Linked DNA regions of Tamandua tetradactyla. The protein of the gene in region 2 interacts with the protein of the main gene of each other region in a pairwise test. Links are inferred from orthologs where the notes say so. Each region holds a gene or a part of one and is shown on either strand. Other genes may lie near its edges.

Region 1 (7,987 bases), on a different chromosome or scaffold from region 2:
AACCCCACTGCTGCGGCCCCACACCAGGCCGGAGCCTCACCTGTCGCTGCCTTTGCCGCCAATGACGTAGACTAGGTCCAGATGGGAGAGCACCGCGTGGCCGTACACAGAATAAGGCAGCGGGTCCGACTCGCCCCATTTGAACGACCTGGAGGGGACGAGAGGGAGGGCGGGCGTCCGGCTCAGGCTGCGCGCTCAGTCCCTCTCCCTCCAACCGCCCACCCACCCAACACCTATTCCAGGTGCACCAGATGCTTTACAGGAACTTCTCGGACTGCTCAGTTCTCGGCCCAGCCCCCCAACCGTGGCCATGGCGCCGCCCCTACCCAACCACGCCTCTGCCCCCAGACTCTGCCTGCTAACTCCCCAGGCCGCCACCCTACGGTCCCCAACCAGTCCCGGGTCTCCAGGCTCCCCAGGCTCCCAGCCGGGATTCTTAGCTCCGCCCTCAACCTCTCGACCCGCTTCCCAGCCCGGCCCTGGCCCCGCCCCCAGCCCGCCCCGCCCGCGCTCACAGCCGGTCGTAGCACAGGACCGAGTCCAGGCTGCGCTCGCCGTCCTTGAGCTCTCGGCCACCGACCACGTAGATGGAGTTGAGAGCCTCTCCCAGGCCGAAGAGGCAGCGCGGCGAGGGCAGCGGCGGCATCCCCAGCCACTCTGAATCCAGGTGGTCAAACTGCCGGCAGGGCCAGCCAGAAAGTTAGCCACTGCCCCCAAGCCCCCCAGCCCCAGCTCGTCCCCGGGCAGTCACCCCGGGTCACAGAGAAGTCTGGACCTCCAGGGTGTGCCAGCACAGCCTGTAGGTGGCTCCGGAGGCAGAGCCCCTCCTCCCTCCAGGCTAAGGGCAGCTGAGAACCCTGGGAGGGTATGTGATGGGGTAGGTGCTGGGAGAACACCATTATAGCACTGTGATGGGGACACCACGGGGCATAGCCGAGGAGAGGGGCTGTGGCACTGAGCTGAGTGCTGGGACCCTTCCCCAGTACCATTCCAGGACAACTGAGTCTTCCCTGCCCCCTGCTCGCCACAGGCTATCTTTTGTGTACATCCTCCACCCTATTCCTCTGACTAGGAGACTTCCAAATACAGCCCTGTCACTCACCCCTTAAAATCTTCAGGGTAAATTTGCCTCCCTGTCCACCTCAACAGCTTTATAATCAGTTAATAGTGGCTCCTCGAGCACTGTTCGGAGCGCATTACAAACAAACAACATTTCATCTAAACTTCAAAACAACTGCATCAGGCAGGAAGAATATTATCCCCATTTTACAAACAGAGGCCCAGAAAAATAATCTGCCCAGGCTGCTTGGCTGGTACTGGATGAAGCTGGGATTGGATTCCACCCCCACCCCAGTCCCACCGTAAGGCCTGTGAGCTTAATCAGGCCAGGCCCATTCCTGCCCATCTCTCTCTCTCTTGCTCATACCATTTTCCCTTGAGAAATACTACCACTCTCCCCTTCAGGTATCCAAATTCTGCCCAGATGGCAAGGCTCAAACCTACAGGACAGGTCTCCAGGAAACTATCCCTGCTGTCTGGGATACCATGATCACACCTCAACTTGAACTGGGCACCCCACTTTACCGGTTCTTCCTGGACCTTAGGTTCCCCATTTGTATAATGGGAGGACTAGACAGGATGTCCCTTTGCCTGGCACATTCTCTGTGTCAGGCTCCATTCTTGGGCATGGAGACCCTTCCCAGGAGCCCTGCACTGGCCCTGCTGCTTCTCCTTTTCATTATGCTTGACCCCAACCCATGTGCAGGGCCAGGGCTACCAAATGCTGGACCATCCTGGGGCTGCCATTCCCCCAAGACAGAAAACAAAAACAAAGTTACGTAGCTCGTTATCATTTGCATACAACTGTCCTCAACTTCCAGGCCCTCTTGTCTTCATTCTCACCCCAAAACCAGCATTATTCTCTGAAAAGCAGACATAGGCCCCTCTTGGCCCCCAAAGCTGCCCTCGTACAGACGCCGGCACGGGCTGCCCACCCCCGCGTCCCAGGGCTCGCGCAGGCACCTGCAGGAAGTAAGCGCTCATGGGGTCCTCCTTGTTGTCCTCGTTGTAGAAGAGGCCCCCCGCCACGAAGACCTGGTTCTCTTTGGTCACAAGGCTGACATGGTTCTTGGGGATCTGGGTGGAGAGGGAAGCCCAGTAACACTCATTGGCAGCAGGGTCGTAGGCCGCGGCACCCTCCTCGCTGATCATGAAGATGAGGTCCTGCAGGAACATGCCAAAGCGCAGGGTGTCATTGAGGATCCCAGGTAGGACGCGTTCAGCCTCCTCCTCGGCCTCCTCTTTGGCCTCAGCCTCGGTTTTGCCCTTGTCCGCCGCCTTGGTCCCGGCGGCGTCCTTCTCCTTCTCCTTGTCTTTCTTCTTCCTACGCAGCACGGTGAGGCGGCCCTCGTGCGCATCCTTCACCATCTGCACCTTCCGCAGCAGCTCGGGCTGGGCGCGCACCAGCGGGTGGCGCTCCACGCGGCTCTCCAGGAAGGCTCGCGGCAGCAGGCGGCAGCGCACGCTCTCGAAGACCGTGGGGAGCGAGCGCTGGCGCTCCGCCTGCGCCTCGGCGTCGCCGCTGCTCGCCCACCGCATCACAGCCTCGAACACGGCCTCCTCCTTCTCCACGTTGAGGCCGTCGCTGGAGATGATGGCGATCAGCTCGTCGGCCGAGAGTCCGAGGAAGTCGGAGTCGCGCGCCACGAGCGTGAAGCGTGCGCAGATGAAGTCGCGGGCGGCCACCGCGAGGCGCGCGCAGTCCAGCATGAGTCCCAGGCGGAAGACCGCCAGGCAGTTGGCGAGGCACAGGCGCTTCTGCAGGAACGACACGCAGATGGTGAAGATGGACGGGATCTGGAACCGGTGCGCCGCGGCGAACAACTCCTGCACGCTCCCCTCATCCAGCGCAATCTCCGACGTGTACAGGTAGTGCAGCACCTGGCCCATCACGTCGGGGGACACCTCCTCCAGGCGCAGCTCGCCGGCGCTCTCTGGCTCCGCCAGGAAGCGCGCCCGGAAGTAGGGGCTGCAGGCAGCCAGCACCAAGCGGTGGCAGGGGAACTCGCGCTCACCTGTCCGCACCACACAGTCGAGGAACTTGCCGTGGTCCAGCATGTCCTTGAGCCCCTCCTGCAGGAGCGTCTGCTGATACAATCGCTGCTCTTCGGCCTGCTCCAAGCCCAGAGCCATGGTGAGTGGCCTACGGTGGGGCGACCAGGCCGTGAGACTCCAGTCAGTGCTCTCCTGCCCTCCTGCTGCAGCGCGCTTTGTCTGTGCAGCTGTCCTACTGAGGCTATATATAGAGGTGGCCTCAGCCCTGTAAGGCGAGTCCTCTGACATCCCACAGGTGACGCAGAGGAGACAGCTGGACAGAGGCCCCCCTCCCGGAACAGCCTCGAGTCAAGCCCCAGGGCTCATGGGACGTGGGTGGGGTGTCTGGGCTCTCCCCTCAAAGATGAGGGCTTCATTGCCTCATTTCTAAATGGGGCATAGGATCAAGCTGGGATCCTCAGCACTTGGAAAGGGAAGCATAGAGGGCCCTTTTTAGGGATCTCCCTTCCTTCCTGCCCTCTGGGCCTTCCGTCCCGGGATGCCCATCTTCCTCTCTCAAGTGTCTTCCACTCGGGCCTTGTGGAGTGGAATACGTACAGTGTGCCTTCTTTTCCTGCTGAGTCAACTTGGGTATGCTATTCACCCTTTGGGGGCAGGTGTGGCCTCATCTTTAAATGGGAAGAACTTGACCCTTTCTGCCCCAGCTCTGAGCCCCTCCTTGCACTGCGCCAGAAAGCAAGAAGGTGTCTGAGATAAACAAGGTTGCCACTTTTCTGTAGGGTCTGGGGCAGGGCAGGTCATTCCATTGAGCCTCAGTTTCCTCCCCTACACAATGAGGAGCTGGAGGAGTTAGGCTCTAAGGGTCTCTGTTTAGTTCAGCTAAGGTTCAGAAGCTCTGGGGTTGTTTTCTTGGGAGTACATTGTTTCAGGGTCTTAAAATTCTAAGGTGTGAGACACACTAGAAAAATTATTTCCACAGAATTCTGATATTCTAGACTTTTAACCCCCCTTGGTTTTAACATTCTAGATGTTCGTGTTCAAAAAGTAACTCTCTAAAGTTTAATATTCCAAGACTTGAGCTGTCCGTGCTCGTTGCTCTTGGTCAGTCCTGGGCCTGGCCTCAGGACCCCCAAGTCCTGTCTACATCTGAGGGGTCAGTGTTGGGGCCTAGAATAGCTAGTCCCACTATCCACCCTGCCCTGGACTCCTGACACCAGCCTCCTACACATCTATCAGCCTGGGCCACCAAGATTAACTCGTACCCAAAGTGCCAGAGGCTGCAGCTGTGGGTTAAATTTAGCCCCCAGGGCATTAGGTGACTGTTGTAGGCTCTCTCCCTTCATTCCTCTGAGTCATGTGTTTATAGCCCAAGGGGGAAAGGAGTGGGTTTGGGAAGGGGGCCCTCGGGCTGGGTCAGGACTGAGTCAGCTCCCTGTGTCACCTCCTGCCCCTCCGGAGCAGCAGGACTGACCATCGCTCACTCACCCTACCTGGGCAGAGCTGGGAGCCACCATCTACCCTCCCAGAGGGGCACAGCACCTAGGAGGGCCCTGCAGGTAGTCCTGTCCATCTTGCAAAAGGGCAAGGGCTCATTCAGGAAGGGCAGTTGTTGGGCTTCCAGTCCAGCTCTGCCTGGGCCCCAGACTCCAGGGCACTGCCAGCAAGCTCTGTCAGTGCAGGTACAGGTCACACAGCTGACAGGTGGCTGAGCCAGGATCAGACACAGGTCTGGGCACCTCCAAAGACTGTGGGACTCTCTCCCTACTTTGCCATGTCCCAGGAATTTACAAAAATGTCCATTAATCTTTTCTCACTTTGAAAGACCAGGACAGAAGGTACTGACTAAACAATTAACTTATCTTTATCAAATGACTCAATGAGGTATTTTTATATGATGATGAATTCCATAGTGCTCACTCCCTACCAGACACTCCACTAGAATATTTATATGTTGCTCGTTCATTCATCAAGAACCTATTGTATGCACTCTTCTAAATGCTGGGGACTCGGCAGTGAACAAATCAGACAGGACTTCCTGGCTTCATGAAGCTAACATCCTTGAAGAAGGGGGAGAGATGGGGCACAAATAAATAGTTTTATAGGACATCAGGTGTTGATGTGGAAACAAGTAAAGCAGGGTGGGGACATGGAAAGTGTTAGGTGGAGGTGGTAACAATTTTAAATGGAATTGTCAAGAAGGACTCCCTGAAAAGGTTACATTTGAGCAGTTTAAACTATGGGGGAGAAGGATTCCAGGCAGAGGGGCAGCTCGAGCAAAGTGTGGCAGGAGAATTCCTGGCATGTTCTAGGAATGGCCAGGAGACTAGCAAGGGTGGAACAGTGCATGAGGAGATGAGTCAGAGGAGATGAGGGCAGAGAAGTGAGGCTGCGATGTGAGGATCATATGGCCATGACAAAAAAGAATGAAGTGGGAGGAATCCTTCTATGTAATATGTTAAGGCCTCACTGTATAGCTTCAGGAGTCAAGCAGTATTGTTTTGGCAGAGGGATAAATAAATAGATCCAATGGAATAGAATAGTAAACCCAGAAATGGCAATTTAACAGAGGAAGGGTAGTTTTTTCAGCAAATGGTGCTGGAGAAATTGGAAATCCATAGGCAAAAAAGGAGAAAGAGAAGAACCTCAACTTGAATGTCAGAACTTATACAAAATGGATCATGAATTTAAATTGTAAACATAATTATAAAACTTTTTGAAAAAACATAAGCAATCTTCAGTGTATAGGGCCAGGCCAAGGGTTCTTGGACTTAAAGCACAATCCATGTTCTATTTTGCTAGCTGCCAGAATGCAACACACCAGAGATGGGTTGGCTTTTAATAAAAGGGGATTTATTTCATTAAAAACATATAGTTCTTCAGAGGAAAGGCAGCCAACTTTCAACTGAGGTTCTTTTTTATACGGGAAGGCACAGGATGATCTCTGCTGGCCTTCTCTCCAGGCCTCTGGGTTCCAACAACTTTCCCCGCAGTGATTCCTTTCTGCATCTCCAAAGGCCTGAGCTGAGCTGCGAGTGCTGAGATGAGGTATGCTGAGCTGCTTGGGCTGTGCTACCTTGAGCTCTCATTTAAGCATACAGCCAATTAAATCAAACATCATTCATTGCAGCAGGCACATCTCCTAGCCGACTGAAGATGTAATCAGCCACAGTTGAGGTTCACATGCCATTGGCTCATGTCCACAGCAATAGAACTAGGTACCTTCACCTGGCCAAGTTGACACCTGAGTCTAACTACCACAATCCACAAAAGGAAAAACTGTTCAATCGAACCTCATCAAAATTAAAAACTTTTGCTCTGCAAAAGACCATGTGAAGAAGGTGAAAAGACAAGCTACAGACTGGGAGAAAATATTTGCAAATCATATATCTGACAAAGGACTATAGAACATACAAGGAACACTCAAACCTCAAAATAAAATCTAATTAGAAAATGGACAAAAGGCAAGAATAGGTATTTCACTGACCAGGACATATGTATGATAAATAACACATTAAACAAAACTCAACATCAGGAGCCATCAGGGAAATGCAAATTAAAACTGCAATGTGATATCACTAAAAGACCTATCAGAATGACTTAAAAAAGGTGACAACACTATATACTGGTGAGGATGTGGAGAAACTGGATCACTCATTGTTTTAGTTTGCGAAAGCTGACAAAATGCAATATACCAAAAGTGTGCTGGCTTTTACAATGGAGATTTAGTAATATAAGTTTACAGTTCTGAGGCCATGAAAAATGTCCAAATCAAGGCATCAACAGGCAATACTTTCTCCCCATAGACTGGCTACTGGTGATCTAGGACTCCTCTGTCACATAGCAAGGTACATGGTGACAGTCTCCTGGTCTTTTCCTTCTCTTCCTGGTTTCATTGCTTCCAGCTTCTGTCTTCAGTGGCTTTCTCTCTGTTTCTGTGATTTCCCTATGGTTTCTGTGTGCCCTTCTCTCCCAGCTTGTTTGGTTTTCTTTCTCAGCCTCTCTATATTTCATCTCTTAAAAAGGCCAATGACCAAAGAAAGAGATGTCTATTTGGTGCAAAATTTATATTTTTGGTGGTGCATTATCTAATTTAACTTGTATGGTTCATTTATTCAAACACCATAATTATAAGGAATCTTGAATGGGGTGTGAGATCTTGTTGGTTTGTACAGGTTAGTGTGATGCCCTGATACATCCCAGAGTAATTTGGGCAGAGAATAAAAAAGTATTTGTAAAGTCCCCATGGGGGACTAGGGAGAAAAGAGGAAATATTCAACTCCATATGGGGAGTTCCTGATATTCTCATAAGCAGTGGGGAGAACCCATTCAATAGGCTGAGCCCTTGATCTTGGGGCTCACCCCTAAGAAACTTATTCTTGCAAAGGAGATGCTCAGATTACTTATAATTATGCCTGAGTCACCCACAGAGAACCTCTTTGTTGCTCAGATGTGGCCACTCCCTCCTCAGTCAACTCAGCAGGTGAACTCATTGTCGTCCCCCTCATGTGGAACATGACTCCCAGGGGTGTAAATCTCCCTGCCAATGTGGGACATGACTCCCAGGGATGAGGGAGGGTTTTCTCATGAAGGGATTGAGAAAACCTTCTTGTCCAAAAGGGGGAAGAGAGAAATGAGACAAAATAAAGTTTCAGTGACTAAGAGATTTCAAACAGAGTTGAGAGGTTATCCTGTTCTAGTTTGCTAGCTGCCAGAATGCAACACACCAGAAATGGATTGGCTTTTAATAAAAGGGGATTTATTTTGTTAGTTCTTCAGAGGAAAGGCAGCTAACTTTCCACTGAGGTTCTTTCTTATGTGAGAAGGCACAGGGTGATCTCTGCTGACCTTCTCTCCAGGCCTCTGTGTTCCAGCAACTTTCCCCGGGGTGATTTCTTTCTGCATCTCCAAAGGCCTGAGCTGAGCTGCGAGTGCT
Region 2 (8,203 bases):
TATATAGATATCCCTTTTCAATTGTTGGTGTATTGGAGTAGCTAGAGGGAATTACCTGAATTGTTGAACTGTAATCTAATAAATAGCCCTGACTCTTGAAGATGAGCTTTTAAGATGTGTCTGTGTGGTTCTGAAAACCTTGTGACTGATACTCCCTTTATCCAGTGTACGGACATAAGAATAAGAAAAAAAAAAAGATAAAAAACAAATAAACAATAGGGGGGGCATGGGGGTGTGGATGCGCTGGGTGTTCTTTTACTTTTATTTTTATTTTTTTTGAGTAATAAAACATTCAAAAATCTATTGTGATGATGAATGCATAGCTATATGATACTGTGAACCACTGATTGTACACTCTGGATGATTATTTGGTATGTGAATATGTAATATAGATAAAATAATTAAAAAAAAATTCAGTAGCTTGTTGTTGCACTTTACAATATAATCCACACTCCTTCGAGACATGTATAAGCTGGTCCCCTGCTTATCTCCTACACTTCATCTTGCTCCACCTTTCCCAGACTTACTGCCAAAGTTCCAGATACACTGATCTTTCAATTTCAAGGTCTTTCCTGTGCTAAGGGCTTAGTACACACCATTATTTCTGACTGGAATGCTCTTTCTCCAATACCAAATGTTTGGTAGTAGAAAATATACTTCTTTTCTACAGGAAGTTCAAAAATACCAACATAAAAAATTAAAAGTATAAATGCAGGGTGCTTGTATCCCAAGAAAATAGGAGTTTACTGTGGCTAGAAGTCAGGATGACCACACAAAATAATTAGACTTGACAACGCTTTCTCCAAAGATTTAATCTTTGCTAAGTTTTCATATATTATCACTAGCTTGCGTTTCCTTCCTTTCCCTGACTTTCATTACCAGAGTCATAAGAAGGAAACTTTAAAATGTTTTTTAAATAGCTCTTTCCACTAGCTTCAAACATTAAAGGGGAATCCAACTCAGACAAGAATGATACTTGCTGCCGGAGGCCAGCTCATGCATCCTTCCTTTTATTGTGAGGGCACCCAGCCCAAACAAAAATTACAAGGTTAACTCTATTCTGAGTTCCTGGTAAGGCTAATTCCTGCTTTGTTTAAAAAAAATAATAATACAGGTCTGTTATTCCTTTTTGAACATGCCTTCAAAGTGGAAGTCTTTGGCCATGAGCTCCTCTTCGACATCATCCAGTACCCACGGATTATCTGTCAGCTCCAAAGCTTCCACTGTGTCTTGAAAACTTTGTTACGGTCAGCAAGCATGACTGTTTCATGCATCATCTGTGACTGGTCAGTGGCATTACCTTGGCCCATTATCACAGAGTAAATGCTCAGAAGGACAAATACATTGAAAAGTACCAGGATGCAGAACTCACCCAGGGTATATCTAATATGAGTAGTTTGATTCCTTGCTGTAGCATAGGCTCAAAATGGAGGATTAGTGGAAATGGTACCTTGGTTGAGACAAAACCTGAGAATGTCATATTGATCTACCCAGCAATAAGAATCATAGGGATAACATTGGTTACATTCCCTTTCACTGTGTCTGTGAGCATAGTAGAATCAGTCATAGGAGAAGGTGGCACTATCTTCCTTTTAATTTTTTTGAAAAATACATCCTCTGGATTGTTGAAGTAACATTTTTGTGTAAGGACTGTTTGTAAATGTATTTTCCATTTTCCCTGAGGACTCATCTTCGAATTAGGACTTGACTATCAGACACTTGCTTCTTGGTAAGTTTCTTGTCACTCTGCAGAAGAATGGATTCGTACTGGTGGATCAAACCCTAGAAGAAGACGATGATAACAATGGGCAGGACCACCCAGAGCTGGAGTCAAGCAACAGCTCCAGTCTCACCATATTCACTGAGAGAAGGCCCTGGCTAGGGATTGTCATGCTTCTTCTTTCCAGGGTGCAGGGTCTTTGCTTTAAGTCCAACACTGTACTTTCTCATGCCTGCTGACCTGGCTGGCTGTGGAACTAGAAGCTGGTGACCTCACGCAATGCTCCCAGGTGTTTCTTCTAAAGCAGTCTTTAAAATTGACAATTATTTTTGTCAATTTACTTTTTTAGAAGGTGTGTGTCTGTTGGTGTGCGTGTCTGTATTCCCCACCAGAAAGCAGGGGCCAGAGAACCGATGTTGTGTTTGTCTTGTTCACCATTCCCCAAGTCCAGAAGAGCTTCTAGTACCACAGTAGATATTCAACAAAGTTATCTTGGGGTGGGGGAACTGTAGATAATTTCTGCTTTTTTTTTTTTTTTTTACAACTTTACGTATGATGTGAAATTTTAAGTAGGCATAAATATAATCTGGGGGAATAAAGCTATTTTCATTTTGAAGAAAAAGTAGAGGAAGAAATAGGAATAGTATTTCCCATGAATGAAAATAATAATACAGAGACCTATAAAGCCAAGCATCCCTAGTAAAAAAACAAACAAAAAAATCTACAGAATGTTTTCTCAGAAATTTAAAACTCCATGTGTTTTGCCATGTATACAAGTTTAAATGTGTTTCAAAGTCATGATAATCATACACAAATGATATAAAAATGAAGGTACTATTATTTGAAGTAAAAAACCTATTTGCAGTCACTGTTTTTCATTTCAAAACATGACCTAAAATATTCTGTCAACACACAAAAAACAAAGTGGTAATAAGTAACACTCTTTCTCCAGCAGTTCTGCAAGTTTCACTACTACCATAGTTTCACTTAACTTATCTGATGACTCAATGAGTAATGAAAGGAAAGGAGCTTTGTAAACGCTGAAATACCATTAAAAAACCTGCGGTCATTACCTGGCCTCAGCAGCACGGACAGACTTTGCCCTACCAAAGCTTTCACTCTATACACCCTGACCTTAAGGTAGGAAACTCTATGGCTTCTTTCTATTTCTTCCAATTTCCTTCCTACTCAGTGTTGTTGAGACAAGCCACCTCCATAGAAGTGTCAGCTTGTAGTCAGGTCAAACAGCCCCAAGTAGCAGGTGTCTAAGAGTGTCCCACAAATAACAGTCACAGAGGCAGGAGCTGGGTCTGGATTCTATTCTTATCAAAGACCACATTGCCCACCCCCCAAAGTGGGCGGCCCCCTCCCGGGTCAGCCCCTCCTTTCTTTACCTCATGATGCGTGGGGGGCGGGCTCTGCCTGTGCAGAGCGGCCAGCCCGCCCCCTTCCGCCTCCGCGAAGGCCAGCGGCTGCAGCGAGGGGCGGCGCGTGTGACGCCCAGGCAGCGGGCGGTGCCTTTTGAAAGTAAACATGCCAGGAGGCGGCCCCGCTCCACGAGAGGTAGTACGCAACGCTCCCTGCAGACTCCGCGGCGGCAGAAAACCAAGGCTGGACTTTCAGTTACGCTCCTCTCATATAGGATTTGAGAAGGAAGCAAAGTGTCTTTGGCCCTTTGTTTCTTTTAAGTCTCACGATAACCTGACTAGGTGGGTAATTTGATTTTTATTTGACAATTAGCATTCCTAAGCTTCAATTTCCTTAAGCATCTTGCCTGCAAGCTCCCGGTATGATACCAGATTCCAAATACCTGGCCTAACCCCAAACCCATGTTCTTTTCACTATGGTGACCCCCAATTTATTCTAACTCGTTCCTAGAAAACTGTTTCATTATCGTTGATGTAGCCTCGCCCGACATGGCTTCATATGACTCTATTTCAGTTTTTTTTATTTTCAAAAATAAAAGGCTTATTGAATATGTCTTTTAATATTTCCCTTAACTCCAGGAGATGCTGGTACCAGCACATGGGATAGGGTTTGGGTTCCCATCCTTCCACTGTCATGCAGCCCCAACAACTACGAAATTTATCCCTCCCCCCCCCCCCCAAATCGAATCCTCATTCCCCAAGATGAAGCATCTTGGTCCAATTTAAGGACACCTTTACTTTGGACTCATTAACATTATGTTTTAATCACGTAACCTAAGTTAACCAAGATACATTTTCTGCATCGTATCTGCATTGTTAGAGGAAAACCACCTAGATTTCAGAGGTTACTGCTATTGTGCTGTATATATAGAAAACAGGAAAATCTTAACACACAAAGCAAAGTTCTTAAAGAATTAAGTAGGTTATTGTCTATTTAAAGTAGCAAACGGAGTTTTTAGTATATCCAATGACAGAGAAATTTGGGATGCTATTTTTTAAAAATGAGTTATACCCAGGGATACAAGTGTAGTTCAGTGGCAGAATTCTCACCTGCCATGAGGGAACCCGAGGTCGATTTCTGGTCCATGCACTTCCCAAAAAACAAGCAAGCAAGCAACACAAACAAAAAAATTCAACAAATGGTCCTACAATAAGGGGATACTCAGAAGGAAAAAATAATGAAACATGACCCCACCACCCAGCATACAAAAAAAAAGTTATACCCAGACAGCGCCCTGGTTAAACCAGTGCTGCTACCCAGATGCTCCCGCCTCCCCTAACTTGCCCAGCCTTTATTGCCATGGCCATGTCCTCTCCCTCCCTTCCTGCCTCCATCCTTCTCCCTCTCCCATTACTACCTGCTCCAGAGACTCCAGCCTGAGAGGCCAGGTAGTCCAGGCCCTGGAGTAATGTGCTAACCTGAGGACAGAGGTCAGACACCATGCCTGGATCCCTGTACAGGGTGTGACTTCTCAGGGTGAAGCTGGGTCATGGCTGATGAACAGAGAGAAAAGCTCCCTAATCAAGTAGTGGGAAGGGAGCTCCCTAACCAATTGTGGGGACTCAGGAGGAGAGCATGATGCTTCCTCTGCTGAGGAATCTAGAAGTCCAAATCAAGGTGTTAGTGGGACCATGCTCCCTCTGATATCTGCAGGGTTCTGATGGTGACTTGCCAGAAATCCATAACATAACTGCTCCTCCATTACGTGGCTCTTTTCTGTTTCCTACCAATGGTGTCCAAACTTCCTTTCCTTATAAAGACCTAGTCATCCAGTCACATTGGAATAGAACCCATTCTAATCCAGTTTGGCCTCATTTTAACTAGTATCATCTTTCAAAGATCCTATTTCCAGACAGGATCACATTCACAAGACTGGGGATTAGGACTTGAACCTATCTTTTTTTGGGGGACACAATTCAATCCCTAATACCAGGCATGTAGTTTCTCTGGCAATATAATTAATTCAATTTAGTGAGCTTCCAGACCATTCCACTGAGAGTAAACAGCTGAAAATTGTGCCTTGTTATAGTATTGATGCAAAACAACTCTAGTCTTTCATTTACTGGTTTGAGCTACACTAGCCCCTTCTATTTCAAGAAAATGGCAGCCACTGTGAAACTGGAGAAAGTACTGGACTTGGGCGAAAGGATAACATTCTCCATCCTTGCTGACTCTGAATGACCAGGCATGACTCCTGCTAAGACTGGAACCAGTCTGAGGTACAGAAGCAGTTGGTCTTTATAACCTGACATAGTATACTGAAGAAAGCATCTTCCTTTGCAAAGCTGTATTCCCACTCCCGTCTATCTCTGCTTACTGACTACCTAGACTTACACAGAGTTGATTTTTCCCATGTATGACTTCGCTGAGAGAAGAAAGCGGCAGCCAGAAACTAACAATATTTTATGGTGGTACCTCTGAAAGTTCAGTATAGAATTACCATATGACCTGGCAATCCCATGTCTAGGTATATATCCAAAAGAACTTAAAGCAAGGACTCAAATATTTGCATACCAATGTTTATAGCAGCATTATTACAACTGCCAAAAGTTGGAAGCAACCTAAATGTCCATCAATAGATGAATGAATCAACAAAATGTGGTATATATACACAATGGAATATAATTCAGCCATAAAAAAGGAATGAAGTTCTGATACATGTGAATACATCATGTTGAGTAAAACAAGTCAAACACAAAAGGATAAATTACATATAATTTCACTCACATGAAATATCTAGAACATGCAAATTTATACAGACAGTTGTTACAGGTTACCAATAGTGAGGGAGGATAGGAAGTTACTGCTTAGTGGGTAGAGTTTCGGTTGGAGGTGATGAAAAGGTCTTGGTAATGGATGGTGCTGATGGTAACACAACATTGTGAATAAAATTAATGCCACTGAGTTGTACATCTGAAGTGGTTAAAATGGGAATTTTAACATTATATATAACCAAAAATAAAAATATTTTTAAAATACAAAAATAAAATAAGTTCTACCTATTTATTAAAACTTTTTCATTTAACTGTGGCTTGCTTTCTTTTGGATCTAATAATCATTTTTTTGAAGATTGTTTAATATTTGCAATATCTAATCTGACTGTAAAAAGTATTTGTGTGTATCAAACATGTTTATAATCTTACACCTATCTAATTTTGTTTTCTCTCTTGCTATACTGTGTAAAAGGTCAACAGAGTCCTTGGAGAACATATTTTCTTATACTTAAAATTATGCACTTTTGACTTTTTATATTAGAACTACTGTGTGTAAAGTAATTGACTATTATGGTTACTTTTCATCAAACTGGGTTTAATAATTTGTGCTTAAAGCATTAAACTAGCATCCTGCACTGAAATGGTTACATCATACTCATTACTGTACTTATAATTAGGATAGTGTTACATAGTTTTGTCCATCTTATAAGAAAATCCAAGAAATTAATTTCTCTTAGGTGCAATTATGTTTTAAGTCCCTCCTTTGGGTTCTCTTGATTATTACATATGACAAAAGAGAGTATGACATCTGATCCATGCCAGAAGAAAGGTGTTTTCTTAAATTGCCATCATGGCTAGATATATCCTACTCCAAATGTTCATGAGAATGGACTCAGAGAGAAATGGGAGATAACCACAGAGTGAAGCAGGTACCTCCACTGGCCAGACTAGGCCTCAGAGTGCATGTACATCAAATGTTTAAAAAAGGTCTACATTACCATGCCAAGGAGAGTAATAAGTCTTTATACAGAATATTAGCCAGGGATTTAGTTCCCCAATTAACTGTTAATCAAAATCTTATTAGGGGAGGGTGGGCGATGGTGGCACAGTGGCAGAGTTCTCGCCTGCCATGTCAGAGACCCGGGTTCAATTCCCAGTGCCTGCCCATGCTGGGGGGGAAAAAATCTTATTCAGTGAAAACTGAAAATATGTCCCAGACATAGGTAAATAGAATGTAAAAATGGAAATTCACAGTTCAGAAATTATAAATGATCAATTAACACATTTAAAACACCTCCTATCTACAGATTTAAGAATTCTAACAATCCTAAGCAAGATAAATAGATGTCACAGTGAAACAGCAGGAAGTTGAAGACAAATATTAAAAGCAGCCAGAGAAAAAGGAATTGACAGTCTGATAGCTGACTTCATATAGGAATAATGCAAGCCAGATGACAAAGGAGTGATTCTCGTCAATGTGTTAAAAGAAAATAACTGCTAACCTAACCTTTCATACTCAGCAAAAACATTTTCCAGAAACGAAAGTGATATAACGACATTTTCAGGTCAATAGAAACCGAGTTTAACATCATCAGATCTTCAATAAAAGCCATTCCAAAGGATGTACTTTAAGCAGAAGGAAAATATGCCTAAGATTAAAGAAGCAATGAAGAATGGAGAAAGTAGTAAAAATGTGGGAAATGTAAACAAGGACTGATAACAATAACATGTAAATCATGACAGGATTAAATGAAGTTAACGGTCTAAGGTTCTTGTATTGTGCGAGAGGAAGGTTAAAATATTGCTTAACTTTAGGTTTTGAAAAGTCAAACATGTATTCTTTCTAGTACAATCACGAAAAGAAAGTATATAACTTCTAAACTAGTAGATAGGAAAAACAATGCCGAAAGATCATATCAATATGAAAAGTAGCAAGAAAGAAGAGAAAAGAAATAAAGGACAGCCAGAACAGCACAAAATCAGAGCAGTTGCATTAACTGTCTGTCAATAGTGTTACTTACAGATAAAAGAAAATATTTTTAAATTGCTTTTTTAAAAATTCCAACAGATGCTATTTAAAAGATACATCTACCTATACAACTGCAGGTAAATATTTATCTCAAAATAAAAAGTTTAATAAATGAAAAAAAAAAACAACAACCCACAAACAAAGAAATAGACGATAATCACAAAGCCAAAACAGGACTGATAATATAACTGGCAAACCACTTGGGAAGATGGATTAAAAAGGGGGGGGGGGGGACACACAAATAGTCATTATCACAAATAAAACAGAAAACACAATTACACATGCCTCAGACACTAAATGGGCACAGCTCTG

The links. The genes of interacting proteins can lie anywhere in the genome.
Region 1: the proteins of TASOR2 (region 2) and KLHL40 interact in binary tests that used the Homo sapiens proteins (3 or more experiments, as listed by UniProt). The two-hybrid records come from large-scale screens. The link is inferred for Tamandua tetradactyla from reciprocal best matches to the Homo sapiens genes TASOR2 and KLHL40.

The regions. Positions count from the first base shown.
Region 1 is NC_135341.1:44,615,881-44,623,867, forward strand, and holds the start of KLHL40 (kelch-like protein 40), read right to left. Parts: upstream 3,255-7,987; 5' UTR 3,193-3,254; coding exon 2,023-3,192; intron 677-2,022; coding exon 516-676; intron 149-515; coding exon 41-148; intron 1-40. UniProt on the Homo sapiens protein: Substrate-specific adapter of a BCR (BTB-CUL3-RBX1) E3 ubiquitin ligase complex that acts as a key regulator of skeletal muscle development.
Region 2 is NC_135333.1:58,364,969-58,373,171, forward strand, and holds the start of TASOR2 (protein TASOR 2), read right to left. Parts: upstream 3,235-8,203; 5' UTR 3,120-3,234; coding exon 3,115-3,119; intron 1,857-3,114; exon of another isoform or gene 1,078-1,856; intron 1-1,077.